Linked DNA regions of Oryza sativa Japonica Group. Each later gene encodes a partner of the first gene's protein in a complex. Links are inferred from orthologs where the notes say so. Each region holds a gene or a part of one and is shown in the gene's direction. Other genes may lie near its edges.

Evidence for each region.
Region 2: large ribosomal subunit protein cL37 (region 1) and 50S ribosomal protein L24, chloroplastic share a complex: the UniProt entries of both Arabidopsis thaliana proteins name them as parts of the 50S ribosomal subunit. The link is inferred for Oryza sativa Japonica Group from reciprocal best matches to the Arabidopsis thaliana genes PSRP5 and RPL24.
Region 3: large ribosomal subunit protein cL37 (region 1) and large ribosomal subunit protein bL9c share a complex: the UniProt entries of both Arabidopsis thaliana proteins name them as parts of the 50S ribosomal subunit. The link is inferred for Oryza sativa Japonica Group from reciprocal best matches to the Arabidopsis thaliana genes PSRP5 and RPL9.
Region 4: large ribosomal subunit protein cL37 (region 1) and large ribosomal subunit protein bL21c share a complex: the UniProt entries of both Arabidopsis thaliana proteins name them as parts of the 50S ribosomal subunit. The link is inferred for Oryza sativa Japonica Group from reciprocal best matches to the Arabidopsis thaliana genes PSRP5 and RPL21C.
Region 5: large ribosomal subunit protein cL37 (region 1) and large ribosomal subunit protein uL3c share a complex: the UniProt entries of both Arabidopsis thaliana proteins name them as parts of the 50S ribosomal subunit. The link is inferred for Oryza sativa Japonica Group from reciprocal best matches to the Arabidopsis thaliana genes PSRP5 and AT2G43030.
Region 6: large ribosomal subunit protein cL37 (region 1) and large ribosomal subunit protein bL34c share a complex: the UniProt entries of both Arabidopsis thaliana proteins name them as parts of the 50S ribosomal subunit. The link is inferred for Oryza sativa Japonica Group from reciprocal best matches to the Arabidopsis thaliana genes PSRP5 and AT1G29070.
Region 7: large ribosomal subunit protein cL37 (region 1) and large ribosomal subunit protein uL15c share a complex: the UniProt entries of both Arabidopsis thaliana proteins name them as parts of the 50S ribosomal subunit. The link is inferred for Oryza sativa Japonica Group from reciprocal best matches to the Arabidopsis thaliana genes PSRP5 and RPL15.

What each region holds. Positions count from the first base shown.
Region 1 is NC_089035.1:9,871,317-9,874,296, forward strand, and holds large ribosomal subunit protein cL37, read left to right. Parts: upstream 1-1,152; 5' UTR 1,153-1,198; coding exon 1,199-1,307; intron 1,308-2,007; coding exon 2,008-2,330; 3' UTR 2,331-2,480; downstream 2,481-2,980.
Region 2 is NC_089040.1:29,338,661-29,342,752, reverse strand, and holds 50S ribosomal protein L24, chloroplastic, read left to right. Parts: upstream 1-1,420; 5' UTR 1,421-1,500; coding exon 1,501-1,623; intron 1,624-2,732; coding exon 2,733-2,771; intron 2,772-2,846; coding exon 2,847-3,074; intron 3,075-3,187; coding exon 3,188-3,370; 3' UTR 3,371-3,592; downstream 3,593-4,092. UniProt on the Arabidopsis thaliana protein: One of two assembly initiator proteins, it binds directly to the 5'-end of the 23S rRNA, where it nucleates assembly of the 50S subunit. Required for optimal plastid performance in terms of photosynthesis and growth.
Region 3 is NC_089036.1:35,818,859-35,822,851, reverse strand, and holds large ribosomal subunit protein bL9c, read left to right. Parts: upstream 1-1,193; 5' UTR 1,194-1,212; coding exon 1,213-1,335; intron 1,336-2,002; coding exon 2,003-2,130; intron 2,131-2,480; coding exon 2,481-2,526; intron 2,527-2,795; coding exon 2,796-2,893; intron 2,894-2,977; coding exon 2,978-3,025; intron 3,026-3,127; coding exon 3,128-3,248; 3' UTR 3,249-3,314; intron 3,315-3,430; 3' UTR 3,431-3,668; downstream 3,669-3,993. UniProt on the Arabidopsis thaliana protein: Binds to the 23S rRNA.
Region 4 is NC_089036.1:9,030,857-9,034,839, reverse strand, and holds large ribosomal subunit protein bL21c, read left to right. Parts: upstream 1-1,325; 5' UTR 1,326-1,371; coding exon 1,372-1,674; intron 1,675-2,145; coding exon 2,146-2,226; intron 2,227-2,774; coding exon 2,775-2,876; intron 2,877-2,959; coding exon 2,960-3,034; intron 3,035-3,153; coding exon 3,154-3,237; 3' UTR 3,238-3,483; downstream 3,484-3,983. UniProt on the Arabidopsis thaliana protein: This protein binds to 23S ribosomal RNA in the presence of protein L20.
Region 5 is NC_089036.1:1,980,082-1,983,877, reverse strand, and holds large ribosomal subunit protein uL3c, read left to right. Parts: upstream 1-1,496; 5' UTR 1,497-1,590; coding exon 1,591-2,122; intron 2,123-2,855; coding exon 2,856-3,145; 3' UTR 3,146-3,296; downstream 3,297-3,796. UniProt on the Arabidopsis thaliana protein: One of the primary rRNA binding proteins, it binds directly near the 3'-end of the 23S rRNA, where it nucleates assembly of the 50S subunit.
Region 6 is NC_089035.1:34,740,188-34,743,787, reverse strand, and holds large ribosomal subunit protein bL34c, read left to right. Parts: upstream 1-1,285; 5' UTR 1,286-1,309; coding exon 1,310-1,553; intron 1,554-2,666; exon of another isoform or gene 2,667-2,667; coding exon 2,668-2,927; 3' UTR 2,928-3,100; downstream 3,101-3,600. Other genes in the region: uncharacterized protein, read right to left, coding at 1-1,052. UniProt on the Arabidopsis thaliana protein: This protein binds directly to 23S ribosomal RNA.
Region 7 is NC_089037.1:6,341,805-6,345,765, forward strand, and holds the start of large ribosomal subunit protein uL15c, read left to right. Parts: upstream 1-1,161; 5' UTR 1,162-1,220; coding exon 1,221-1,638; intron 1,639-1,804; coding exon 1,805-1,956; intron 1,957-2,942; coding exon 2,943-3,164; 3' UTR 3,165-3,178; exon of another isoform or gene 3,179-3,280; intron 3,281-3,920; exon of another isoform or gene 3,921-3,961. Other genes in the region: uncharacterized protein, read left to right, coding at 1-629.

The sequences.
Region 1 (2,980 bases):
AGACCAGAGGGGCCAACTTCCTTAAGCCTTCTCCCTTGCAACCAAGCAAAGTCCCAGAATTTCGCTTTTGTACCATCTCCAACTGTCGTCGTCGTTCCCACAAAGAGGAGTTTGCCAATGTTGTCGCAAGGCGTCTCCGACCCCACTCAAAGCTTTCTTAGATAAACAATGTAGCAATCAGTGGCGCTTGGCGAGCCCATGGTTCAATTTTTCGTTTTCAGTATTTGTATTGGGGTGCTGATATACCGAAATTTGGTCCAGAATTATTTGAATTTTCGAACAAAATTTGGTCAAATTTGAATAAATATTACTAAATTCACACAAAAGAATAAAAAAAACTTTGGTCGAACCGGAAATTTGAACCCTGCGAGCCAGCCTGCGAGACTTGTCGTAGATTCTGTAAATCTTCTCTGACACTGATACAACGATGGCTCGTGCATCATCCTCATCCTCCTCTCCGGCAGCATTGATGTCCATGTCGAAGCTACGCTCGGCTGGAGGATCTCTGCACGCTCCATAATCTTGATGGGTGTCCGCGAGCTGAAGGAGCAGAAGCTTCCATCCCCAATGGCGCACGAGAGCTGACGACCCGGATCAACCATTGGCAGCAGCTCCTGTACAGACACCTCCTCGTCCTCGATGCTGAAACTGCTCTACGCCGGCGACGGCGACGGCGACGGCGACGACGAGGAGGAGACATTCTTGATGCGGTACACGGCGGCGCCGGCGCGTGCTTCGGCTTGGAGTGGGAGACGAAGAGGTTGTCGCTAGCTGCTCTTCTCATCACCGATGGGCACCCGCTTGGCCGTCGAACGGGAGGTTCTTGTCGTCGGCGAGCTCCCCCACCTCTTGCTATCCACGTCGAACGCAGGATGTGGCGGCCGGCGGCGGCGTAGGACGCGACGGCGAGCGCGGCCGGGCGGAGGGGACGCCGCCGATGCGGATTGTCGCCGCCACCCGCGGCGGCGGCGGAGGCGGCGAGAGGAGAAAAAGAAAATCAAAATCAAAATTTCTCTCCACCTATGACATGTGGGCCAACTGCCAAGCAGCCTTACTTGACGGAGATTAAATCTGGCCGTTGATTCTCCATCGGACGGCGGAGCGCTCACAGCAGCACAGGCTTATCTCCTCCCTCCGGGCTGATGGGTGGATAGGCTGACGACGGGCCAAGAAGCCGAATCCCACACTGCCCGTGGCCATGGCGCTGCTCCTCTCCCCGACCGTCTCCTTCCTCGCCTCCTCCTCCGCCTCCCCGCCTCGCGCCAGAGCTCTCCCCGCCTCCGCCAATGTCGCCTCCACCATCCCCGGTAACCTCCGTGAACGCCTTCTCCGTACCGGGACTTTTGCGCATAAGTTACTCGGGTTGTGGGGTGTTGGTTCTTGGATTGGATTATGCTGAGTGGGTACGAGGCTATCCATTGTTGTGAGGTGTGATTTGTAATTCGGTGGGAGGATTGGTCTAGATATTTGACGTTGGTGATTCGTGGCGTTTCTGATTCTCTGGGATGCGGTTGGCTCGTTAGGGAATTTCTTCAAACACGTCGTGTGCAGATGCAGTAATTCGTGGGAGATTCCGTGCATTTATCATCTCTGTACAAAGCTAGGTATAATTCATCTCAGTGAACTCTGCAGATTCTCGAAGCTTTGGTTCTTTCGTGCTTAAATGATAATATCAGATGCTATGTAAGCACCGGTCACTGGCAAAGGGTGACATTCGTAGTACACCCTACATTTGGGGCCTGATTGTTAATAGATGAGTAGATTTTACATATCTGTGCTCTGCTAAGATTCATCATAATATGTAATTGAGAACACTAGGATTGTTACTAGTTATTGTACTATATACTATCCATGAAGTGGCACACATGAGCTAGACTTATTAGCTTTCAAGTTTCTTATATGACGGAGATTCTATCAAAATTTTGAAAGTAGCATGCATGTACTCTGAATTCTATATCTAAAATGATGCACATTGAGGCTTGCCATTTGTCCTTTCTGATGCTACAGCCCCAAGGCTCCAGTGCAAGAATCTCTCCTCGCAGAGCCCTCTGAATGCTTCTTTCACCAAGAAGAGGCTAGTTTCTGTCCATGCCTCGGCAGAGGCTGGCGCAGAAGAAGCTGGCACAGATCAACCAGAGGAGCCAAAACCCACGGTTTCGATTGAGACAATGCCGCTCGAAACTAAGCAGAAGATGATCATGGAGCAGAGGGCGAAGATGAAGCTGGCCAAGAAGCTGAGGCAGCGGCGCAGGAGGCTTGTCCAGAAGAGGCGGCTGAGGAAGAAAGGTAGATGGCCACCATCCAAGATGAAGAAGCTCAAGAACGTCTAACCAGCAGTGATGTCGGTCGCTGTTCTTCTGTACACCTCTATGTTCTGTTCATCCGTCTCTGTATTTCCTAAGCTGATGCCCAGCGAATTTTGCTGTTCAAAATATGAAACACAATGTTTGCAAAATGTGATTATTTCTTTCCCGATGAAATTTCATCTTGTATTTTTTAGATAATGGATAAACCGGTCACCGTTAAAAACACACAAAGCCCAGTACTGAACAAATTTTCTTCTAACATGTCCCTCCTTTTTCTCCTTTAGGCTTTAGCTGTCCTACAGAAGTACCACTAAATCTAATGTGTGTTCCCATAGTGGAAATATCATATGCACCTTGATGCCTTCTGTGTTTGTCAAAAACTCAAAATCATAGCAAATTTCAAGAAGCCTTGCTGTGCTGCACTCTATATTTGTGAGGTATTTGCCTGTATATACACTTCCATGATGTGTTTTGTTAGGGCCTCTCACAACTCTTTCGTCTGACCTGATGTTGATTAAAGCACAAAGGATCAACCTGGACAAGGAAATAACTGGAGCAAATTCGGGTTTGTTTGTTGTTTGCCACTTTGTCAGGCACGATGTGAACAATCTGAAGAGTGCCATTTTCGATTTTTTTTCTGATGCCCTTCCTGTTGATGTGGTTGTAAAATTTAT
Region 2 (4,092 bases), on another chromosome or scaffold:
ATGCATAGAAACGTAGACTTCTGAGTCAACCGTGTTAGAATAGCTTGGCCAAAGATGCTCGATGATTCGAAATCTTCGGTCAAAAAGCTTGGAATTCATAGTATAACGACCACTGTCACTATGCTATTTGGTTTTAGGTAGAGAAACCAAGAGTTCTTCGATTCGAAATTAGGTTGGTTCCTCAACCTCCTCACATGGATCGGAAGGCTTCGATTCGAAGTCGTCCGATTCACATCGGTGCCATCTACCTACCCATCCCCATTCCCCACCGCCCACGCCCAACCCTATCAAATGAAACGCGAGATTGCAACCCCCCAAAGAGAAGAAAACGGCAGCGGAAATGGCGACGTCCCGATCCCCCACGCGGCGTGATGGGGAAGAACTCCTCAGGCGTACGCGCATCGGCAGCGTCGTCACCGCGAAAGCGCCCCCCAAAAGAGAGAGGAAATGGGTCCCAGAAAAGCGCAAAAGGGACGGAACTTGGGGGGTTGCTTGCCTCCGCAACTGTCGCTTGGCTTGCGCGCGTCGCCGGCGACGTCGAAGCCGCCGGAATCCGGGAGGCGCCACGCCTGGGCGCCCCCGCCGAAGCAGCATCTCGCGGCGCGTGGCGTGGTGATGATGCGTGTGGAGACGAAGCCACGCAACGCAACGAGGAAGACGACGAGCGTATGCTGGGCTGGGCCTTATCCGAAAACGGGTGTCGGCCCATATCAACCCAGGACGTTCGGCCCACGTTACTTGACCACAAACGGGATTGCGGACGACGAGCGGCCCACGACATTTGGGCCTTAACCGGATTGCTGACGTGCGTGATAGTAAGTCTATTTTGCCTCCCTCATGTTCTCTGCGAGTCAGCCTGCCACGTCAACAGGAACCACCCTACAAACCATCTAAGGGTTGATCTGCTACGGTTTTCGCTTATTCGAATCGTTTATTAGCAAATAAAAATTTATTTATGAGTAAAATGTTTATATATGTCCATAATAACTTAAAGCAAATGTTGTAAAATATAAGCATTTTAAAAAAACAAAAAAGCAAATTCAAAACTAAGTTCTCAAATTCAAATTTTGGCTCATAAATATAAGCATAACCAAACAATAAGACCGATTTTCCTCCATTTTGCGGTTGAGGGAGGTAATTCAATCAGGAGCAGAGATGAGAAATGTACAATAGATTTTATCTGTGTAGGTGCGACCTGTTCTTGTTGGGTCGAGACGGGATTGCGGCTTACGTGAGGCCCGCTATATTTGAGCCTGAACGGGATCGCGGCTGACTTGGGCCGTAAGGTCCGTTGTAGTTGGGCTGGATTACGATAGGCCTTTCATTAGGCCTTTATGAGTCTTACAAGTGGGCCAATCCATTCGGCCTAGAGGCCCATTTGTCATGTAGAAAAGCGCTCGCCATTATCCTGTCCGCGAGCACACGAAGGCGTTCGTTATCCTCTGCTGCTTCTCTGCGGTTTGAGCGAGCGAGGGAGGAAGAGGAGGGGAGGAGACGAAGATGGCCGGGGTGGCGGCGTTGCAGGGCGCGATGGCGTCCCTCTCCATCTCTGCGCCGGGGGCGGCGAGCACCAGCAGCTTCTGGGGCCACCCGCTCTCCACCTTCGCCGCCGCGCCGGCTGGGGTTTGTGCCGACTCCCAACCCTGATTCTCATTTTTCGCATTCCTTTATGTTTGCTCTGCTCTTATGATTCGCTGGAAAAGTAGAAATGCCAGCTTGCACTGAGATTTAGGATTTTAGAGCTCACCAACAGCGTGGCATTGCAATGGTGATGTCTACATCGCCTCACTGTACTGTTGTTGCCTTCAGGAGTTCAGGCTCAGGACCTCAACTAGCCAACAACCAACGTTGTGTCAAAATTTTGTGGTATATTTTTTTTAGAGAAAAGGTCTCAAGGATTTTGTGGTATAGTTGAACCTAGTTGGCTAGTATAAGGAGGGTTTATATGAATTAATGAATGCTTGAAATCTCAAGTTTGAGTATATCAACTGAGTGAATTCAGAAGTTAGAAATTGTGTTGTCTACCATGGGATGTGGCCTGTTATGTTTCAGTTTAAACTTGAATATTATTTTTTTCCTATGGTGGTATAAGCGATGGATACCCAATATTCAGCCTTTCAAGCAGAGGATTATTTTTCTGAAAGATGTGCCCTCTAGTGAGACAGACCATTTCTTGTTCTAACCTGCTGTATAGATCACATTTCGCTGGCTAGAAACAATTTTGCCTTTGAACTTTAAATTACTCAACAGTAGAAATTTCACAGAAGACTTCCATGGGAAAATGATGGAAACTCATTTCACTCGGGGATAGCCTGTAGCAAATGATTGGCACACTCGGTATACTTATCAGACTGAACTTGTTCTATCTTTTGTATATTCTTTTTGGCGTTCCTTAGCTCTTCTAGATAGTCTACTGCACTTCGTCCTCAGAATGAGACTCACTCACGACTAATTACTTACCTGGAAAGTGGTGATGAGAGAAAATAAGGCCGAATAATTGCTCTTGAATGGAGTGACTGAGCTATATATGGCACTTATATGATGAACTGTACTAAAATCTGCACTTATATGAAGAAACTCGTACTAAAAGATCATATGATTATCCTAGATATTCTTGCCTAAGAAACATCGTGAGCATGATTCATGTCATATCTCAAAAGCAGCTGATTATTACATTTTATGTCATTTTCATAAGAAACTCTGACAAGATATGCATAAATTTTTATATGCAGGTTAAATTTATGATCAAGACATGCCCAATTCAAATGAGGGTAAGTTTCAATTCTTTTTTGGTCTGCAGCTTGCTATTTACTCAAATGTCTGAAATTTCCCTTTTTCCAATGCAGCTTAAGCGATGGGAGAGGAAGAAGTGTAAACCAAACAGTCTTCCTGTCCTGCACAAGATGCATGTTAGGATTGGCGATACAGTACAAGTCATTGCAGGCCGTGAGAAAGGTAAAGTTGGAGAAGTTACGCGGCTTTTTAAGCACAACAGCACTGTAATAGTGAAGGACTTGAACTTGAAGTCCAAGCACAAGAAAGGAACAGAAGATGAACCGGGTGAAATCGTCATGGTCAGCATTGTTTCTCTTGAAACTTCTTTCTGTGCTGCTTCTAGCTAGTGTCGTATATATAGTTTCAGATGCCTGATCGTTAACCTATGGTTGTTGGTGTTTTCTTTGATCAGATTGAAGGCCCCATTCACAGCTCAAATGTGATGCTCTACTCAAAGGAAAAGAATGTGGCGAGTAGGGTTGGACACAAATTCCTTGAGGATGGAACGAAGGTTCGGTACCTGGTCAAGACTGGTGAAATAATTGACAGTGCTGAGAATTGGGTCAAGGTGTTCAAGGAAGGAAGTTCGGAGTGATCATGGTAGCATGGGAGTCCTGCACATTTTCTGAACTGCACTTTTTGTATGCCCAAATGAGTTGATGCTTTTCTAGATTCAGATTTCAGAGTCTTGTAAATTTCTATACAGTTGCCAACATTTTTTTGTATCCAATGACATGCTTGGCTTGTTAACCAGCTACTAGAATGGTTCAGCTACATTCGCTCATACAAATGATTTTGTAATGTTGTTGCTGTCCCCTGTCCTGAGCTATTATTCGCAACCATTGACTAATTTGGTCCATTTCCATATAGAAATATAGATGAGATGTACATATAAAACCCATGAATGATTGATAAGTTCTTTTTTTTAAGGAGTAGTAAGATAGGAGTATCATAAAAGAAACAAGCTTAGCAATTTTTTTTTTGAAACAACCCGCAGCGATGTTTCTATTGATATAGTAGGAAAAAAATACAAATATATAGTGCTAAAAGATAGCGATGTTTCTATTGATATAGTAGGAAAAAAAATACAAATATATAGTGCTAAAAGATTATAGTCAGAAAAAGGAAAAAACAAATCTGATTTGCCATTGATAACATGAAAGCTCAAGAGCTCGTGCTGACGGCTGAGAATCAACATAGCAGATATGGCACGCAAATATCAAATCCAGGTGATCGTAAGCAAACCACAGTTTTCTGCTTGCGTTTTGCTCCGCGAGGGAAACCTGACACCTGTCCAGATCCCATGAGACGAAGATG
Region 3 (3,993 bases), on another chromosome or scaffold:
CGTGGAGTCCGCTTGTTTGGTTTCTCCGATGGCGGGAAGGACGAAGTCATGGACGGCTGCATGACATGACGACGACGATGACATATACTCGATTATATACCCCTCTTCTCTTCGGTTTTCTCATCTCGTTGAGCAGTAGACATACTAATTCAATAAGATATATAATCGCCATTCTTTTTAAGAACGATTTGCTAGGTTTTTTTTTAATTTTTGTTCCTTTCGAGAAACAGGTCACCAGCTGGAGATCTTTGTCAGAAAAAGTACAACAAGATGATACTGGAGTATGATATACGAGGATGATATTTTGATGATACTCGTTGATAATTAAACAATGATACTTGATTATACTCTTTGATATTATTCATGAAGATACGGAGTATTTGCTAATACTCGTTCTTGCACATTGATACTTGATGATACTCGTTGATATTTGCTTATACTATTAATACACGTTTATACGTAATGGTAGCTAGTGATGTATCGTTGAGTTTCAAGATAGCACCAAAATAGTGTTATAATAATATATTTCTCGATTTATGTTATAACATGAATATTAGTGAAGGACCTAATATCAAATAATTAGAAGGGGTGAGGTTACGAATCCAGGTCATTTAGGCTATCACCTTGTGGAGCTAGCCGGAAGACCCCTGAGTGTTTCTCTTAATGTATGTTATAACATCTTGGCATCACATGTACTATCTATCTATCTTAGTAATATCGTCGAGGTATCACGTACATATATATCTCCTACCTTTCTCTATACGTTGAGTGGAAGGGGGTTACAATTTGGTGGATTATTATTACGACTTGTTTGGTATGAAACCATGCCAAAATATTGGCAATGCCAAATCTTGAGTAAATTTTGGTATTACTAAATTTTTGTTATTGTCTATTTGGCTTCACCTTATTGATTTAGCAAAATTTGACTCTAATTCAAATAGTTACGTGTTAACTATTCAAAGTTACCAAATAATTTATTTTTGACCTTTAAGTTATCAAAGAATTAGTAAGGCAAGAAGGAGCGCCAAACCAAAATGACCCTTAATCTTCAAGCCCATGACAACCCCGAAGAAAACCTTTGATACTGGGCCGATTTGAAAGGCCCAAAGCAGCGCAAAGCCCAAGAGAGAGGGCACCAAATCCGTTGGGGAAGTGGATAAGAGAGCAGCAGCCGCAGTTCCTTCCCTTCCCCCGCAATCCATCCCCAACGCCATGGCCTCCACGCTCGCCTGGAGCTCCGCCGCCTCCTCCTCCGCCCCCTCCTCCCGCCTCCCGCCGCGCCGCTCCCCGTCGCTGGTCGTCGTCGCCCAGGGCAAGGTCAAGAAGTATCGCCAGGTTTGGCTTCCACTTGTATTTTCTCTCCACAGTTGCAGCATGTATGTATGTATGTATTTAATTGCGATTCGTTCGAGCTAAGCAGTACTAGTACTGACTGATTGAACAAGCTGTTGCTGGTGATGCTTTTGTTTTGCCTCTTTTAGAACTAGCCATACCCAATGTACTGTCTGTCACCACCCTGTCCACTAATCAGTACAGTAGATTACAAAGCGCATGCGACTGCATTCCATCGATCGAAAAATTCGAAATGCAGCAGCTGTAAGCTTAAGATTACTGTGTGCATTCACACATCTGAGTATAGGAAAAGATACATTGCCATGGACGCATGCTCTGATGCAGTACATGGAAATGGAAGAAACTATCGTCATGTTTTTAATTAGGTGCCTCTTAGCATTGCAACTCAGATGCAAAAGTCATCTCTAATATGATTCTGTATATGCCCCGGAACGCCGGAATTGTTGGTTTGGCCATGCTGTTTGTTTGTAGGGAAAGTTGCAACTAAAAGGCATCTAGATACACCCAGTTCAAAATTTGCACCTGTAAACTGTAAAATGTTCCAAGCCTATGTCATCATCTTCCTTGTCTATTATGCATTTCTATACTTTAGCATGTAATGCACGATTCCGTATTTGATTTACTTCACTTGAGTTTCTTTTTCTCCCAGGTCATACTGACAGATGACATAGCAGAGGTGGGGAAGAAAGGGGACACGCTTAAAGTGAGGGCCGGGTTCTACCGCAACTTCCTTCTGCCAAAGGGCAAGGCAACGCTGCTCACCCCAGAAGTACTCAAGTAATCTTCTGTCTTACAGTCATTTACCACATCTCACGAATTGTATAGGCTATGTTTCAACCAACAGATAGGTGCTCCTAGTAAATTAATTGACGTATGCTTATGTTTCATCGTAGTTGGTTTTCACAGTATGCTGCAGGTGTAAATTTGCAGCTATTTATTCTGTTGTGTTAGCCATTGTATCTCTTGCCTCCTTGTGGAGCCCAGGATTGACATATAAATCTGCAAACTTTTATAGATGCCTATTCTGCATTTCTAGTTCAGTTCTTCTGGGGTGTTCAACATGTTCAATTAGTTCTTGTAAAAGGATGGCTAGTAAGCTACTTAATTTCCTCTGCTGCTGTCTACAGGGAAATGCAAGTAGAACAGGAGAGGATAGATGCTGAAAAGAAGCGGGTAAGTAAACCTATTATTCTATTTGTGGACTCAGTAAGAATTGATATAGTTGAAACTTATTCCTATTTGTTCCTGTCTGTCTAAAAACTACTGTGGTAGTTATACCCTACTAATCCTTGTTCTCCAGGGTACGTAGTTGTGGTTTAGCTTATTTTGTAAAAAGTCTAAAGCATGATTTGTTCCTACCAATATCATTTTCCATAAGAGTATAAGAACTTTCATCCAGTGTTAGCATAATCTTACCCTGTTGAGCATTTGTGCTTGAGTAGGTAAAAGAAGAGGCACAGCAACTTGCCCGTGTTTTTGAAACTATTGGGGCATTCAAAGTGCCACGTAAAGGTGGGAAAGGAAAACAGATATTTGGGAGGCAAGTTTTTATCGAGTAGATAGTTCTTTATGTATCGTCTTATTTTACTTGCACTTAATAACAAGTTTTTCTTCTATTCTACAGCGTCACAGCACAAGATCTTGTTGACATCATAAAGTCACAACTTAATAGGTATGCCCTTCTAAGTGCACTGACAATCACTACCTTTTAAGGAAGGATTGCGATGCTCTATTTGCTGCTGTTGCTTTGCTTACCGGAAACTATTTCATGTAGGGATGTCGACAAGCGTCTCGTGACAGTGCCAGAAATTCGTGAAATTGGGGAATACATTGCAGAGATTAAGCTTCACCCTGAAGTCACAGCTCAAGTAAGGCTGACCGTATATGCGAAATAAGCCCTGAAGCTGCTTGATTGAATCTTTAGTGGATGGTGGGCTTTGGATGAATTCTGATTTCACCAGGTAAGCTCATCTGCAAGGCATTCCATTGTTCCTTACCTTTTGCTCCGTTCTTAAGCTGTCATATACATTTCGTCAATTGTGTTAGCAGCTGAATTCATGCAATGATTTACTTGCAGAGATTTTTGCTGAAACTCCAAGGTGCAGTGTCACATCACGGGGCTTGGTCTTTACACATTGCCACTGTCCATCCTACCTGTAAAGTCAGTTTCTTGCACCTTTTTTTTTTTGACAAATTTATTTGTGTTAATGTTATGGGGTTAAATGGGCATGATGTAAACAACAAAGGGTTCAGAGTCTAGAGCAACTGATACTTGTCTTGTAATCTTGTTTAAAGGTGCACGTTCTTTATAGTCATATAGTTTGATAGAGCTACTACAATATTTGGGTTGGGTGGGCCAAAATGGCACGTAGGCAGTCTGGTGGTCGTAGGTTGGGCCGCTTGGTCGCTGTATTATTAGGCCCAAACATAGGGATTTCAACACATTTTTTAATGAAAACTTTCATCTGAAAAAACCTTCGTTTGGAAACTTCCATCCAGAAACTTTTCATCTGAAACTTTGACACGGACTTTATATGCCAAAAGTGTGTGCCGCGGGCAAAGCTGAGCTAATTAGTCATCCTGTTAGTACATAAACTATTTGGGTTAGATTTGTTTGTGGGTGAGGGTGGAAAAAGTTAG
Region 4 (3,983 bases), on another chromosome or scaffold:
AGATAACAGTCTCACAGTTTATCAATGTTGTTTGATAGCCTTTGATGCGCTTGCATGGGCTGCAGCATATAGCAACAGGCCAAGCAATAGTGCGCTATACCTTGCATTGGCTACGGCTACACAGTCGAAGCAATGCCATAGAAATGTGACTACTGAACATGTCAATGTTCATTGTTGATAGAACTGGGAGTACGGAAGATAGTCTCTTTAAGATGGCTAGGTCAAAATATAAGCAAAGGAGGACTCAACAAGATTTGAAAAAAAAAACAACAATCAGGTCCTCCTCTGTCTTATGCCCACATTGGTGGTGACTGGTGACATACTTGATGGCAGTGGGTGCTACATGGACACGGCGAGCTACAGAAGATGTTGCCTTGACGCATTCCCAAATAGGGTTTCACAACAATAGAGGTTAAGGCCATGACAATTCATGAAAAGGTTCATCAATACCATAGATGAGTACATCCAGAGCTAAATGAGATTGTTCTTGGAGCAGAACCATCAAGGTCGACAACCTAATCGTTGATATTGGTGATAGAGACAAAGATTTCATGGCAAGTTGCATAAAAAAGCACCAAGAAGCTTACCTTATTAGGGCCTCCATAGCCTAAGGTTGAGGAATCCAAGCATATAGCAAACAAAACTCAACTGCTTCTTGAAGGTTTGCCACCAATAAAGAGGAAGAAAACTATCATCCTTGCGAAAAGCCTGCTGGAGAAAAGAAAGATAACTTGCCTAACTTCCCTTAACTAGGTCTAGCTTTCTCCTAACTCACGGTGATAGAGAATTACCCGGTGTTTTAGAGGGATACCACTAGAGAAGAAACTTCGATTGCCTTCTCCATGAAACCTAGGACTAGAAGGCCAACATCGCCGACCTTCACGCTCAAACTAAAAGAAAAACCCAACTAAATTGATTGACCTACAAAGAGAGAGTTTGTCGGACTTCTCTCCCTCACCTCGCCGGCGGCAAGGTCACCCGAGCCTGTGAGGAAGAGGGGTCGAGGAGGCGTAGTAGTTCAGTTTGGCTCTTTCGTCCGAGAGTTCACGAGAGTTCTCATCACTCGTGTTAATTCGCATATTCTTTATGGTCTAATCAACACATTCGATCCAACTCTTTTATAATCTTTAACTGATTAAATCAAACGATTCTAAACTTTAGAAAGGAGAAACAAAATGAGTACGTGCAGTATCGCTAAAAAACTAGTAGGGCATAGTTTCATGTTTTTCATGGGTATCTAATCTGAGCCGTTGATCTCCAATCGAACGGCTCAGGGTAACCTCCCTATCCACAATATTATCCCTCTTCTTTCTTTCCGATACGATAGCCCACACTCTCATCCACACTGCTCTTCCCCCCCGCGCGCCGGCCATGGCCACCGCGACGCTGCCCCTCCGCCTCCTCGCCTCCAAAACCCTAGCCTTCCCCTCCGCCCCGTCCCTCCCGGCCTCGCGATGCTCCCTCCCCGTCGCCGCGTCCGCGCCCCGCCGCTGCTGGCGGCTCCTCGCTTCCGCCGAGGAGCCGGCGCCCGCACCCGTGGAGGCCGAGGCCGAGGCGGAGGTGGTAGAGGAGGAGGAGGTTGAAGAAGAGGAGGCTGCGGTGCCGGAGCCTGTGGAGGCGCAGATCGCAGCCGCGGGCGCCGGGAAGGACGCCGACATCTTCGCCGTTGTCATGGTGGGGCTAGCTTGCCCTTGCCGCCAATATTTCAGATTTAGTCCTGCTCGGCTCACTGCAAACAAACAAAAAAAGAATCACATTTGTTCATGCTACATTACCTCGAATTCTTTAAATAATATCATTACACAGGCATTTGGCGCTAGTTGCGTTGCTTCTTGCGGTGAAGTGAGCATTTGATTTCAGGCTTGTGTTGCTTACTCTATGCTGCATAAGAAGCTTAGGATTCACGCGCCAATAGGAATGCGCGCACGCCGATTATTAGTATGTACAGGACACACCATTAAGAAAACGGCGCAGAGAATTACAGTGTTTTCGAATGATACAATACTAGTCTTACAGAGAATTGTTCGGATGCATTTCTGAAATATGCAGGAGTGCATCTGAGGAGGGTTTCTCTGTGTTTTGTTTTGTATGAGCGCTGTGAATAATAACGAGGGAGCTATTTTGATTATTTTTCTTCTGTCGCAGATTGGGTCGAGACAGTACATTGTGATGCCTGGAAGGTATATATACACGCAGAGGCTGAAAGGCGCCAATGTCAATGATCAGGTCTGGTGCTTCCACTTTAGAGGATGCAGGAGGATACTTGTTACACCCTAACTAGAAATTTGGCCTATTTTTGCTAGTTAGTTGGTTTGTATTAATCCATAAATTTAAAAGGTATATGATGCTGAGGTGGCTTCTAGATAAGGTGATTGTAAATTAGGAAAAGGCAAATATATAGTATTGGTTATTTGGTTATTATTCTTTTTCATCCATGAGATGCAATAACAAACTTCAAAACAACGAGGAAGGTTGTACATTCTGAAATTATGGAAAGTGGTAGTGACCTACTTCATTTTAGAAGTAAAAGAGTCACTTCCCTGTAATTATAACACTTCAATCCCAGTTCCTGATTTCACATAAATATCTTATTCAGAACTTTTCGATAAGTTTTGTGTAGCCTGCATATATTAGCTTCGTTCCTTTTCTAACTAAAATTACTCCTCTGATGCAAAGCTTCCAATCCCATAGGACCCATACGTTGGCTTATGTTGCTGGCATTTTTAGTATTGTTTTCCCAGAAATTCTCACTTCTGGATAATGCTGATGTGCAGATAATATTAAACAAGGTATTACTGGTATCAACTAGAGACAAGGCTTACATTGGCATGCCAGTGGTGACCAATGCTGCTGTTCATGCAGTGGTTGAGGAACAGGTATGTCCTCTGTATGTTGTCGGGTTAATCATGGATATTCAAAATTACTTGACCCTGATGTCTCCCCAATATTTTTATATCAGGGACGGGATGATAAAGTGATAGTCTTCAAATATAAGAAGAAGAAGAAGTACCAGAGGAAACTTGGTCACAGACAGGTAAGTTTTTCCAATTACCTTCTTCAAGAAAGGTAGAATTTTATTGATAAATACTGATTCAGTTTTTACAGCGAAGCAATTAGAGTTCTTTTAGATTAAAAATCTCTGTTGTTTTGCAGCCAAACACAAGGTTAAGAATTACCGGCATAAGTGGATACGAGGACTTCCCTGCTGACCCGATACTTGAGTATGTTCCAGCTTAAGAGCAATTGTAAGTTCTGTAGTTACAAACAACTGGTAGTACATTAGAATACGAGTGCTACCTTTTCTTGTCTGGAAGAACAGTTTTTGAACAAAATTTGCTTTGTTCATGTGTTCGAGTGCTGCCAGTCATCCAGTTGTTCCATCCTTTGTTTATTCCACCATCTGTTTTGTTCATTCTGATATTGTGTATCCTAGCCAACTGTATTATTTTCACTGTGCTTAAAAAAAGAGAGAGCATTTTACCACGATACGGATGTTTTAGCTTTGGTTTGTGTAACTTTATACAGTTTTTGTGACTACTGATGCTAATTTCACTGTTTTTGGCATCTGTACCAATGGTGCTTAGTTTATTGAACGGGCTATGTCCTAATATTTTGGGATCAGTTACAGTACTATGTTCAATGCAGTTCTGGTCATGATTTATTCGAGTGTTCTAAGAGAAGTTCTGCAAGGCCATATATAAGGTGTTTGTGTGCAACCTTGTACTGCTTAGGGCACATAAGCAGCTGGTTAGGACTTAGGCCATATAAGCATCTACAAGGCAGGTGGCTGCATGGATTCTGCTTACCACTTTTTAGAACCTTGGTTCATGAAGAACTGCAGAAGTTTTGCCCTTTTGAATCCTTACCAAAGATAACCAGTGGCATAAGGCGTATAATCTTTTGGCAAACTATGACTGTTTCAGTAGTCCTTCACCCCTAATTGCATATTACAGTTCTGAATTATAGTGGTTTTCAGACATCTT
Region 5 (3,796 bases), on another chromosome or scaffold:
CTCTCTTGCTCTCCAGCTCTCTGTAACTCCTTCACACACAGATCCACCAGAACACAGGAGTAGGGTATTACGCTTTTCAGCGGCCCGAACCTGTCTACATCGCCCGTGTCTCGTGCATTTGCTCTCTCGCGAATATTCCACAGATCGAGGGTGAAGAACCTCACTTAGCGCCCCCGGCCGAACCGGCAAAGGGGGGCCTGCGCGGTCTCCCGGTGAGGAGCCCCAAGCTCCGACAGTGTTAGTATGTTGCTTCGTTTTGCATGCGAAGGGGGTTTTCAATCCCTCCAGAAGAACATATGCTAAGTAAAGCAATATTTTGTTATATATAAGTGATCAGGTAGAGCGAAGGGCATAGAAAACAATAAAGATATAGCAAAATGTGAATTGTGAAAATACTAGTGATGGAGCGCAAGATTTGTGTTTTTGAATCTCACTCGCGTAGAAGGCAATGGATTTCTCTCGTTGCTTTCAATTCTTGAACAACGTTATTGGTTCGATAGAATTTGAAGTGTTCAATCACTATTTTGTAGTGAGCTATTCTGAACTGTGTTAGTGCAATGAAGGTCATCGAGAGTGCAAGTGGCTAACCTACAAAAACCCACTTATATACTAAAACAAACCATCTGTACCAAACTCAGTTCCCATTGATATCTTCCCACCTGGTGCACAGGGGCACCGTGCTAAGGTACAATTGATCTAGGTAAAAACACTTGACTTTAAGTAAGGACACTGGATAGCACGTTATCTAAAATAAAACTCGGTAAAGTTATATGGTCTCAATGGCAAAGCTAGCAGCATACTTAAACCTGGGAGACAAGGAACGTTTACTAGTGATCCATAAATTTTCGGTATTGCTAAAAATATGTCGCTACAAATTACGATGGATTTCAGTCGGTTGTTTCAACCGTCAGATGCGGATGCAGAAATCATCGCAGTGTACGCATATCCCTCCGATTCTGTTCTCTTCTGATCTCTTCTGTTGTTTTAATGTTATTTGCTAATTAGGATTACTAATTAGTCTTAAAAACTAAATATCCGTGTCATCACAAATTTATAGTTTTGGGAATTACATCAACTTACACATGTAATTTTGAGAATTGCATATGTAATTTTAGTACTTACATATGTAATTTTGGAATTTACATTGTAAATACACTAAAATTATATATGTAATTTAGGGACTTGCAATGTAAATACATGCCGACTATTTTTTTGGTGAAAAATACGGCGCTATAAATATATATATAGTTACTCCCTAAATTTTTACATGTGCTATCAATGGAGAATAGTAGCAACATCAGCGGCGGAGTCTGTACGGTCGCCCGACCTGCCCAGGAGGTAGCTCCGCCTGTCTAGCCTAACCTGTAATTTATTATGCACCCGTGGTATTTTGCAACTGTTACGGAATCCACCTCCCCGGCAAAGAAAGCGTATTCCTAAAAAGCGCCTCTCTGCAGGCGGGAGGATAAGGGGGCATTAGCCGCAAACCCCAATCCAATCGAATTCAACACGAAAAACAACCAAAGCAGCAAGCGAAGCCGGGACACTGCTGGAGTGAGCAAATCCCCGCTCGAATCCGGGGCACCAAGAATGGCCATGGCGGCCGTGGGCATCGGCGGCGGCGGCGGCGGCGCGCTGGGCCTCCTCGCGCCGCGCCGCCGCGCCGCCTCCTGGAGCGGCGCAGGTGGCGCGGCTGCGGCGGCGGCGCGGCGGCGGCCGCTGGTGGCGGTGGTGCGCGCGTCGTACGAGGCCGGGGTCGGGGTGATGGCGACCAAGGTCGGGATGATGACCTACTTCGACCCGGCCACCGGCAAGCCGGTGCCGGTGACCGTCGTGGGGTTCCGGGAGGGCGGCAACGTGGTGACGCAGGTGAAGACGGCGGCCACCGACGGGTACGACGCCGTGCAGGTGGGGTACCACGGCGTCCGCGAGGAGAAGCTCACCCGCCCGGAGCTCGGCCACCTCGGCAAGGCCGGCGCGCCGCCGCTCCGCCACCTGCAGGAGTTCCGCCTCCAGTCCGTCGACGGGTACGACCCCGGCCAGCCGCTCGACTTCGCCGACATGTTCAAGGAGGGCGACCTCGTCGACATCTCCGGCAAGTCCATCGGCAAGGGGTTCCAAGGTCAGTAAACTTGATTATTTTTTTTTACTCCCTTTTCACAATGTGACTACCATTTCGCCCTGTCTGAATTTGAACAATGCTTTACATTGTGAGGAAGACTTGAGAACAAGCTTGAAATTTTGCTGTATCAAATTTACCATATGCTCACCAATGTTAGTGTACAGAATTGTTCTTGGGAAGAATCATTTAGCCTCTTCTCTTGATTAGCGTCCTAGACTTGCACAATGGCATTGCCAATATGGCAATGTCAATGCTGTTCTTGGAGTTGCAGACCTGTACCATGTCAACACATTCGTTATAGTTCACAATTTATTGCAACCATCAGCATCACTTGTATAATTTTCATGAAGTGAATATAACATCGTAAACCCGTTGCAATTGCGCTCTTGATTTGCTGCGACCAACGATTTGCCAATACCGCAAACATTATCCATTTCATGTATATTCTTCCCAAACAACATAATAAAAAAGACACAAATATTAGAGAAGGACCTAATATCAAATAATTAGAATGGGTGAGGCTTCGAACCCAGGTCGTCTAGCCTACCACCTTGTGGAGCTAGTTGGAAGACCCCTGGGTGTTTCTCCCCAAACAACATAATCGTTTATAGCATTCTCATGAAGTCAAGAGCACCAATATCTCTTTTAGTTCCTGATCATCTAATGGCAATATGGCATAATTGTGCAACTATGCTCTCAATTTGCGACTGACGGTTCTTGGACATCGACACAGGTGGCATCAAGAGGCACAACTTCAAGCGAGGGCTGATGACCCACGGCTCCAAGAGCCACAGAGCTCTGGGATCGATCGGTGCCGGGACGACGCCGGGTCGGGTGTACAAGGGGAAGAAGATGCCCGGGAGGATGGGAGGAACCAAGACCAAGATCAGGAAGCTCAAGATCGTCAAGATCGACAACGACCTGAAAGTTGTCATGATCAAGGGCGCCGTTCCAGGGAAGCCCGGGAACCTCCTCCGCATCGCTCCTGCCAAGATCGTCGGCAAGAACATCCCCAAGAACTAGACTATTTTTCTCATGTGTTTCGTCCTGTTCTGTGAGATTTGTGATCTGTTGTTTACTGAATTACTGTAAATTGGAGATGTTCTTTGCCCATGTCCAGGTTTTGTATACGCGTAACTTTGAATTTCGTAAAGCTAATTTTTTTTCTACTCAATCTTATCGATCTCCCGTTCTCAGTTCACACTCTCTTTGGACTAGAAGCTAACAGAATCTTAATCATCTTGTGCTTGGATGTCAAATTTGCAATCACTGTTTATTCTGTGTTCAGGGAATGGAAACATGTAATGGTAGACGGTAGTGTAACAAACACATCTTGAGAATCAAACTTCACCAAGCGTCAACAATCTGACAGTTTTACCAACTTCTCCAATACTGAATTATTGTAAACTCTCATGTCTGAACAACCGAAGAGTGCAGAGCGCGACATGGCCAACCGCAGCAAGTGCAACAGAGGGAAAATGTTAACTAAGCATCATGTACAAACTACACATCAAGTGCAACAGCACGAAATGTCAATGTAAAGCTTCCAGTCACCATTAACGCTAACTTCTACAATATCTTCAGCAATGACACAGGGACAATAGGTTTCTTGCATCAGTCAATGCGACACATTATTAGGCCATGAAATATTCTCACACAAGTCACCGAAGCTGG
Region 6 (3,600 bases), about 25 Mb from region 1:
TCAAAATCTACTTGCATCCTTGATATGATACCATCAACAATGTCCATCAAGCTTGGCGCCGTGCGTATTGCTCCCTGCGGTGGACGGAGGACATGCTCAGCTTCGCCCTCGCACACATTGTACCAATAATTCCCTGGCTCCACGTCCCCAAATTTCCTAACGATCAGGGGATCCCTCGACTTGGAGAACTTGGTGGGCGCAACCCTGCTGTCCTCGATGATGCGGACTCCAAGCTGACCCTGTGCTCCCCACTTGTCCCAATCCTCCCAGAACCGCTTGTGTTCAACGATCCCGACCACGGATTGCAGGTGCTCAATGTCAATATAGAAGGCGAGGCGCTTGCCCTCCTCGGGCATGCCCCCGGCGTAGGCGGCGGCGAGACAGACGCTGAGATCGAGGACGAGGGTGCGGTTGAGGTAGCGGGCCTCGGCGATGGAGCAGAGGAGACTACGAAGATAATGCGGCATGGGCTTGCACCGGTCGCCGCCGCCAAGGTAAGAGAGGTACTTGCCCGCGGCGAACTGGGAGCGCGAGAGCGCGGGTGGGGGCGGCGGGGCGGTGGCGTTGGTCCCGCCGCGGCGGGGCTTGCGGGCGAGGGGGCCGGAGTGGTATTCCCCGATGGAGGTAACGGAGTAGGCGCAGGTGACGGGGTCGCGGGCGACGGAGAAGCGGCGGTAGTCCTTGTAGTTGGCGGAGGCGGTGGATCGGGCGCGCCAGGCCATGTCGCAGGAGGACGACGGCGGGTCGCCGGGGACGGGGCGGCCGAAGCGGTTGAAGTGGACGTCGGGGAAGGCGTCGATGGCGCGGCGCATCATGAGGTGGAAGAGCTGCGGGTCGGCGCAGTCGAGCGTGGAGGTGGTGTCGCAGCTGGCCTGATCCTGCTGCTCCAGGTGGGACGTGGTGGGCGTCAAGGCGGCGGTGGGAGGGGAGAGGGAGATGGGGAGGTTGCGGAGGGTGAGGAAGAGGAAGGCGACGAGCAAGAGGGCGGCGGCGGCGTGGGCGGAGGAGGTGATGAGGGCGCCCCGCCCCAGCAACGGCCGGCTCGGGTCCATCCGGCGACGGCGACGGCCGACGGCGATGAGATCTGGTGGCTGATTGTGTAATAAAGCCCCGTCTGCAGGCGGCGGACGGTGGTGAACTTGTTTCTAGGAAGACGACGAACTGTTCCTCTTAATGGGCCTAACATGAGTGGGCCTAAGACGAAGGCCCATGATTTGGCCCAAGAATCGCATCTCGTCGTGGATAAGACGATAAAGCAACATTGTGTGGGGATAGCCATAGCCCTGCACCGCACCTCGACTCCCCAAACATGGCGCTCGCCCTCGTCTCGCCAATGGCGGCTCTCTCACTCCACTCCGGGAGGATCTCAGCGGCGGCTATCGGCGGCGGCCTCCGCTCTCGCAGGGCATCCCCGATGGGCGCCGCCGCCACCCCGTTCCTCCGGAGCTCCTTCGTCTCCTCCTCCTCCACGTCATCCGCCTCCGCCTCCCCCGCCGCGCTCTCTGCCGCGGTCTCGGCGTCGCTGACCTTCACCTCTGCCTCCTCATTTGCTGGTGAGAATGTGTACTTTACTCGTTCCTGATTCGCTTCGTTCTGTTGCTACCATTTGGGTTGGGGAACTAGATGGAGGAGAGAGTTGCCTGCAAAGAGAAAGGGAGGAATGAACTTTTGTGCTGCTGGTTTCGGCTTTAAGTACTGTACAATGGAGTGTTTATACTGTCAGATAGGTAGCGTGTACAGTTAATCAGTGCTTAATGTCAGAAGATAACTAAACTAAACTAGCGATTTTAATGCAATTGATATATTTGAAAGTTCTGATGGTATTCTGGCAATTTCCTGAGAAATCTTAAATTCAAACTCTGCCGTACTTGTTAGCTGCTGTACGCAGCTTGTTATAATCTGCAATGTCTGATCCTAAAGCCCACGCATTCTTATAGTTAACCATGTGCTAGAGAATTTTGCTTAAGATGTGGATTCCGATTAAGATTAAAAAAAATCACTTGTTTACACATCCAGTTTTTTAGTGTAAGAACGTGTATATATATTCATAATTCAGTGATTAGTTCTAGATGGTTCCATGTTAGGAAACCTACACGGCTGAAAGTTTCTTTTCTTCCTCCATGTACTGTGATACTGATATTGTGATTTCCAGTAGTGCCAGATGGACTGTAGATTGTAGTACATTCTTGCGACAGAATCATGAAAACATCACAAAAACTCAGGAAACTCCACTTTTTGGAGCGAGCGCATGAGCTTAATTTAGTAAACTCATTATGAAATATATCATCTAACATAATTATACTACGAACTAACGAAATCACTGAATCAAGAACGTTTAACTGGACAACTCAACTTTTTAAACAGTTCAGTTACAATTAATAGCCTTGCCACCTAAAGCAAAACCAAAATGCTCCTAAAACAAGCCAATAACGTTAGATTAAAGGAACTATTGCAATGATATTATCCTTTTGGAAAATGAACTGTACTTTACATACTAGAGTTTTTTTCCAAATGATCTTAGAGAACAAAAACACAAACTAAGGGCAATCAAATAGCCGGTTTCTGTGCTGTACTGTTGTATTTAGCAAATCCATGTTCTTATGTATCAAACCATATTTGTTCCAACCTACAAATGATTTCAGTATCCTAATATGTTACATATTTCAGGTTCATCTTTGGGAATTGAATTCAGCTACAACAGAGTTACAACAGGAAGATCCCGGATTCTGCAGATTAGGGCTGGAAAGGCTGCTCTGTGCATGACCAAGAGAAATAGATCTAGGAAGTCGCTTGCCCGTACACATGGTTTTCGCAGACGGATGAGGACTACTGCCGGAAGAAAGGTCCTGAAGCGCAGACGCGCCAAAGGAAGAAGGGTTCTCTGCACAAAGACGAACTCCCCCACTGGGAAGAAACGAATGTTCTGATTGAATCGCATTCTAAGTCGCTCTTTGTCACAATTGTAAGTGTATTTTTTTATCCCACGTTCTCGGTTATACTCAACCATAACAATTGGTGCAAATCCTTCACCCGGTGTCCGGTTAATGTGTGAAGTACATTATCAACACAAATTCAAGTTAGCCTTTTTGCTTGTGCAGTATTTAGTAGTTGTTTGCTGTGGGAATATGTTCTCCTTGATCTGCATTGCCATGGTTTTCCTCTGATCTATCTTGACTGCATTCTGAGCATAGATTTTGCCAAAGGGCCTAAATGCTAACTTGAGCAGTTGCTCAAATAAACTCATCAATTTTTCTATTCTGTAGTAGAACGTCCCTTTTATTTTCTGATACAGTCCAGTGAATTTTAATATTCAGATCATCTCATCATAGTCACTCCATGCTCCACTGTGTAACACAATTTATCCACCTCCTCTGTGCCAATCTCTTTGGTACACACTTATTTGTAAAACAACCTGATTGCCCATCCAATCCTCTGTCACCTTATAATTTTGCTACTATCAGGCGAAAAAATGGATAATATCCAGAACTCAACCTGGAATAAATGAAAGGCAACAAGTAGCAAAGAGAACATTTACATTCTAACAAACTGAATCCCTCCTCTTCTTCACTCGCATCGGCAAGCCGCCTTCCATCCTCAAGG
Region 7 (3,961 bases), on another chromosome or scaffold:
TGGAAGAAACCTCTGCTGGGTTTCCTCCTGATGACTCTATTGGTATTTCTGGAATGGAGTCCTCTTCAAGAGACACAGCTAATAAGAAAATCAAATTGTCAAAGGATATTGGTTTGGACCGTCTAACCGCCACAACTGTTCAGGAAGCACCGAAGCGTCCAAGAACAACCTCACTAAAGAAGAATCAAGAGTGCAGCAGACAGAAGAAAAGAAAAATAAGCAAGTGGGATGGTTCCTACTCTGTAATCATTGAATGGTTGAATTACTATTCTGTGGATGAGTCAGATGAAGATGAGGTGCCTTTGATAAATAAAAGAACCGAAAGAAGAAAGCGGCAGAAGTTACTGAAACTTGTTCTTGCTAGGGAATCCAATAGTGGCAGTGAAGGTGCTAGTTCTACATCTTTTGTAGAAAATGGCAGAAATTCTAGCAGTGCTGGCTCTTACCCCCTAAGCCAGGGGGACAATGACAAATCTGAAAATGTGCAAGCTAATCGAGTTGATGTAAGTTCATTGCCAGATCATCCTGTAAGTAGTCATGTAGCAGCAGAGGATCAAGCTGGCCAAGCTGCATCGTCACCATTGAACTCACCAACTAGAGGTATCGTTGTTGACATTTCAGATGGTTGATGGCCAGAGTTCCATTAGTTTCTTTCAGCTGAGGCCTGGACGTACAATTATCCAGACTACAGTTGTAACACTTACTTTTAATTCCTTGCACCTGTCTACTGCTAGACATGCAACGGGACGATCCTGTGAAGCATGTGTCTTGTACATGTCTTCGTTTCTTCCTTTCTCATTTCACCTTTTCTTTTCTTAGCATAGATCAGTTCAGTATACTTAACTCTGTCAGGTTGTGTGACCCATCAGTTTCTCTCCGTACTAGTCTCTTGAAGAACAGCAAAGATCAGGTTTTCTCTTTGGTTGATTGTGTGTGGAAGATCAATCCAAATATGTTCATTTCTTAAGAAGATAAATTCAGTTCTATTCTATTCATAAACTTTTGTAAACCTTCTAAAATCCTTTAATAAACAAGAAGCAAAGTGAGTAATACGAAACCATTCACAAAATAGAGGGAAAAGAGGCCCAAATTCCCAAGGGTTAATTGGATTCATGGCCCATTTATCCAACCGTCTTATCTCCCTCGTGTCCTTCCCCAATTATCCCCTTCTATCCACCCACACCAGCAAGCCGCTCAGGCGCGCTCTCCGCTCCACCGCCATGGCGTCCATCACCCTCCTCTCCCTCGCTCCCGCGGCCACATTGCTCCACCTCCCGGCCTCCACTTCGCTCTCCACCTCCTTCGTCGCCGCTCCAGGCCCCATCTCCGGCCGCCGGTCCGTCGTCCTCCGCGCCCGCCCGCGCCGCTGCGTCACGGTCGTGTGCAGCGCCGCGGCGGCCGAGGCCGCGGAGGCGGAGCCCGCGGAGAAGTTCCGGCTCGACAACCTGGGCCCGCAGAAGGGGTCGCGGCGGCGGCCGAAGCGGAAGGGGCGCGGTATCGCGGCGGGGCAGGGCGCGAGCTGCGGGTTCGGCATGCGTGGACAGAAGTCGCGCTCGGGGCCAGGCGTCCGGCGCGGGTTCGAGGGAGGGCAGATGCCGCTCTACCGCCGCATCCCCAAGCTGCGCGGCATTGCTGGAGGTGAGTCTCTTCGAGCTTCCCGCTTCCCCTCCTCGCCCTCAATCGAAGCCTCACACATTCAAATGCACTGGAAATTGAGTGGGAACACGCTAGCACCTTCCATTTGGAATGCAGAAATGCTGGGATTGAGAAGTGACCCGTTGCAAGTTCTACCTTGCGATTGCAGGAATGCATATTGGCTTGCCGAAGTATGTGCCGTTCAATTTGAGAGACTTGGCGCGTGGCGGGTTCAAGGATGGTGACGAGATATCATTGGAATCCTTGAAATCGAGGGGTTTGATTAATCCGTCTGGCAGGGAGAGAAAGCTTCCTCTGAAGGTACACTATACGACGATTATCCTTCTTTTTTTTAAGTCGGTTCTGTAGATGACCATGTTTTACTGAAAACTGAAATATGAATGCCTTGCATTTGATCTTTGCCAGTGAATTCATCAAGTTCACCAGCAGTCTTGGGTAATCCTTTAGTTGTTGATGTTGTGGATTGAATGGCTGGCCTTTTTTTTTCTTGTAGTTCTCAAATGTTGCTGTGTTGGTCTGTCCTTAGCAGCAATTACCAAGTTGAGTATTCGAAGTCTCAAAGTTGTGTGTCGGGATCAATTTTCTTAGCTCGTGTTGGACAAACACGGTATGATTTGACGAGTGTTTCTATTGGCTACTCAAGGATCTAGAACGTATGAGTTATGATGAACCCACACATGGTGTAGGCCTGCATATGAGCATATCTGTCAGGCATAAACATGAAGTGGTATCAAGATCCCAACAAAACCATGTGCTCTTACATGTACCACTGCATGTCTGCATCACTCCCAACATACCCAAAATATTTACTGTTTGTCTCCACTCTTAGTTGGCGGATTGCTGGAGTAGATGCATTAGTGTGCTACTGGGTTGCCCCTTATAGTGGGTAGTGGTGTGGCGCTTGATCACTGATGTGACAAAGACTTCTCCAAGGGTGGAACTTAATGCACCTTGAATAGCATAATTGTTCAACTTTTATTGTTCTTTCTGGTCCTATTTCATTTGATTGATTTTTTCTATACTCTAGGCTCCTAGCTATGTGGTACATATAAGGTAAAACCCACAGGGCTAAAACAGGTATCAAGACCTAAGTCATAATGTGGGGAGCTATCAACTTTATCCTTATGATAGGCTTTTTCCTTCTTGACATCTGATTCTGATGTTCAGCAGATGGCGTTCCTTTCATCTTTGTTTGAGTACAATGATACTGCAATGTTGCTGTTGTTATTGTATCTTTTATCATGCGGGTAGTATTAGTATGCTAACTTTTGAAAACCTATCTGTAGATTTTAGGAGATGGTGATGTATCAGTCAAGTTGAATATCAAGGCTGGGGCATTCTCTGCTTCAGCCAAGGAGAAGCTCGAGGCAGCTGGTTGTACTTTAAGTCTGGTACCAAAGCGGAAGAAATGGCTACCACAATCTTATCTGAAGAACCAAGCTCGTGCAGAAGAATACTTTAGCAAGAAAAATGGTGGTGCTGGTGAATCTGATGAAGCATCTGCATAGAATTCATATACACTGTACTTCTCCTTTACCCTTTTCTTTAACATATACTTATTTCTCTTACCTTGTTCCAAAAGTTCCACGTTCAACGAATTTTGAATCCGTGCGATATGCAAGCATTTTTTTTTGTGTGTTTCCTGTTTAAATGGAGAAAATTCCTTCTATACCCCTGAAAGTTTAGCCAATCCCTTCTACGCCTCCGAGTTTTGTCCACTCCTTTGTATGCCCCTGAATTTTGGTTTTGATCCCTTTCATACCCATACCGTTAGTTGAATGTTTAATTCTAATGAAAAGGACCTTTTTGCCCTTAGACATGAAGGAAATCTAAAAATTGTAGACTAGCTATATTGTTGGAAGTGTATAATTTTGTTATATAAGACTATCATATTCATGACTTTATTGTACAAGGTATTATTCATGGCAAAGTTTATTTTTACCTAATGACATAAAAACTAATATTTATTTACCTACTAAAAGAGTATATGTAGCATTTGTTTATGGTAGTTCAACATATTTTCTCCTGTTGTATATATTATATAGGAATGCTTTCCAAAACTATGTTTATCATTTAAAAAAATGCTACATGTACTTTTTAAATATATATTAAATTTTTTATGTACATAAAACTTATGAATATGATAATCACACAACAAATTTTATACTTCCAACAATATAGTTTACAAATTTCTACATATTCCTCACATATTGAAGGGTAAAACTGACTTTTATATACCTATTAAACGGTCAATTAACGGCAAGGGTATGGAAGAGATCCAAATCAAAATTCAGAGGTATACAAG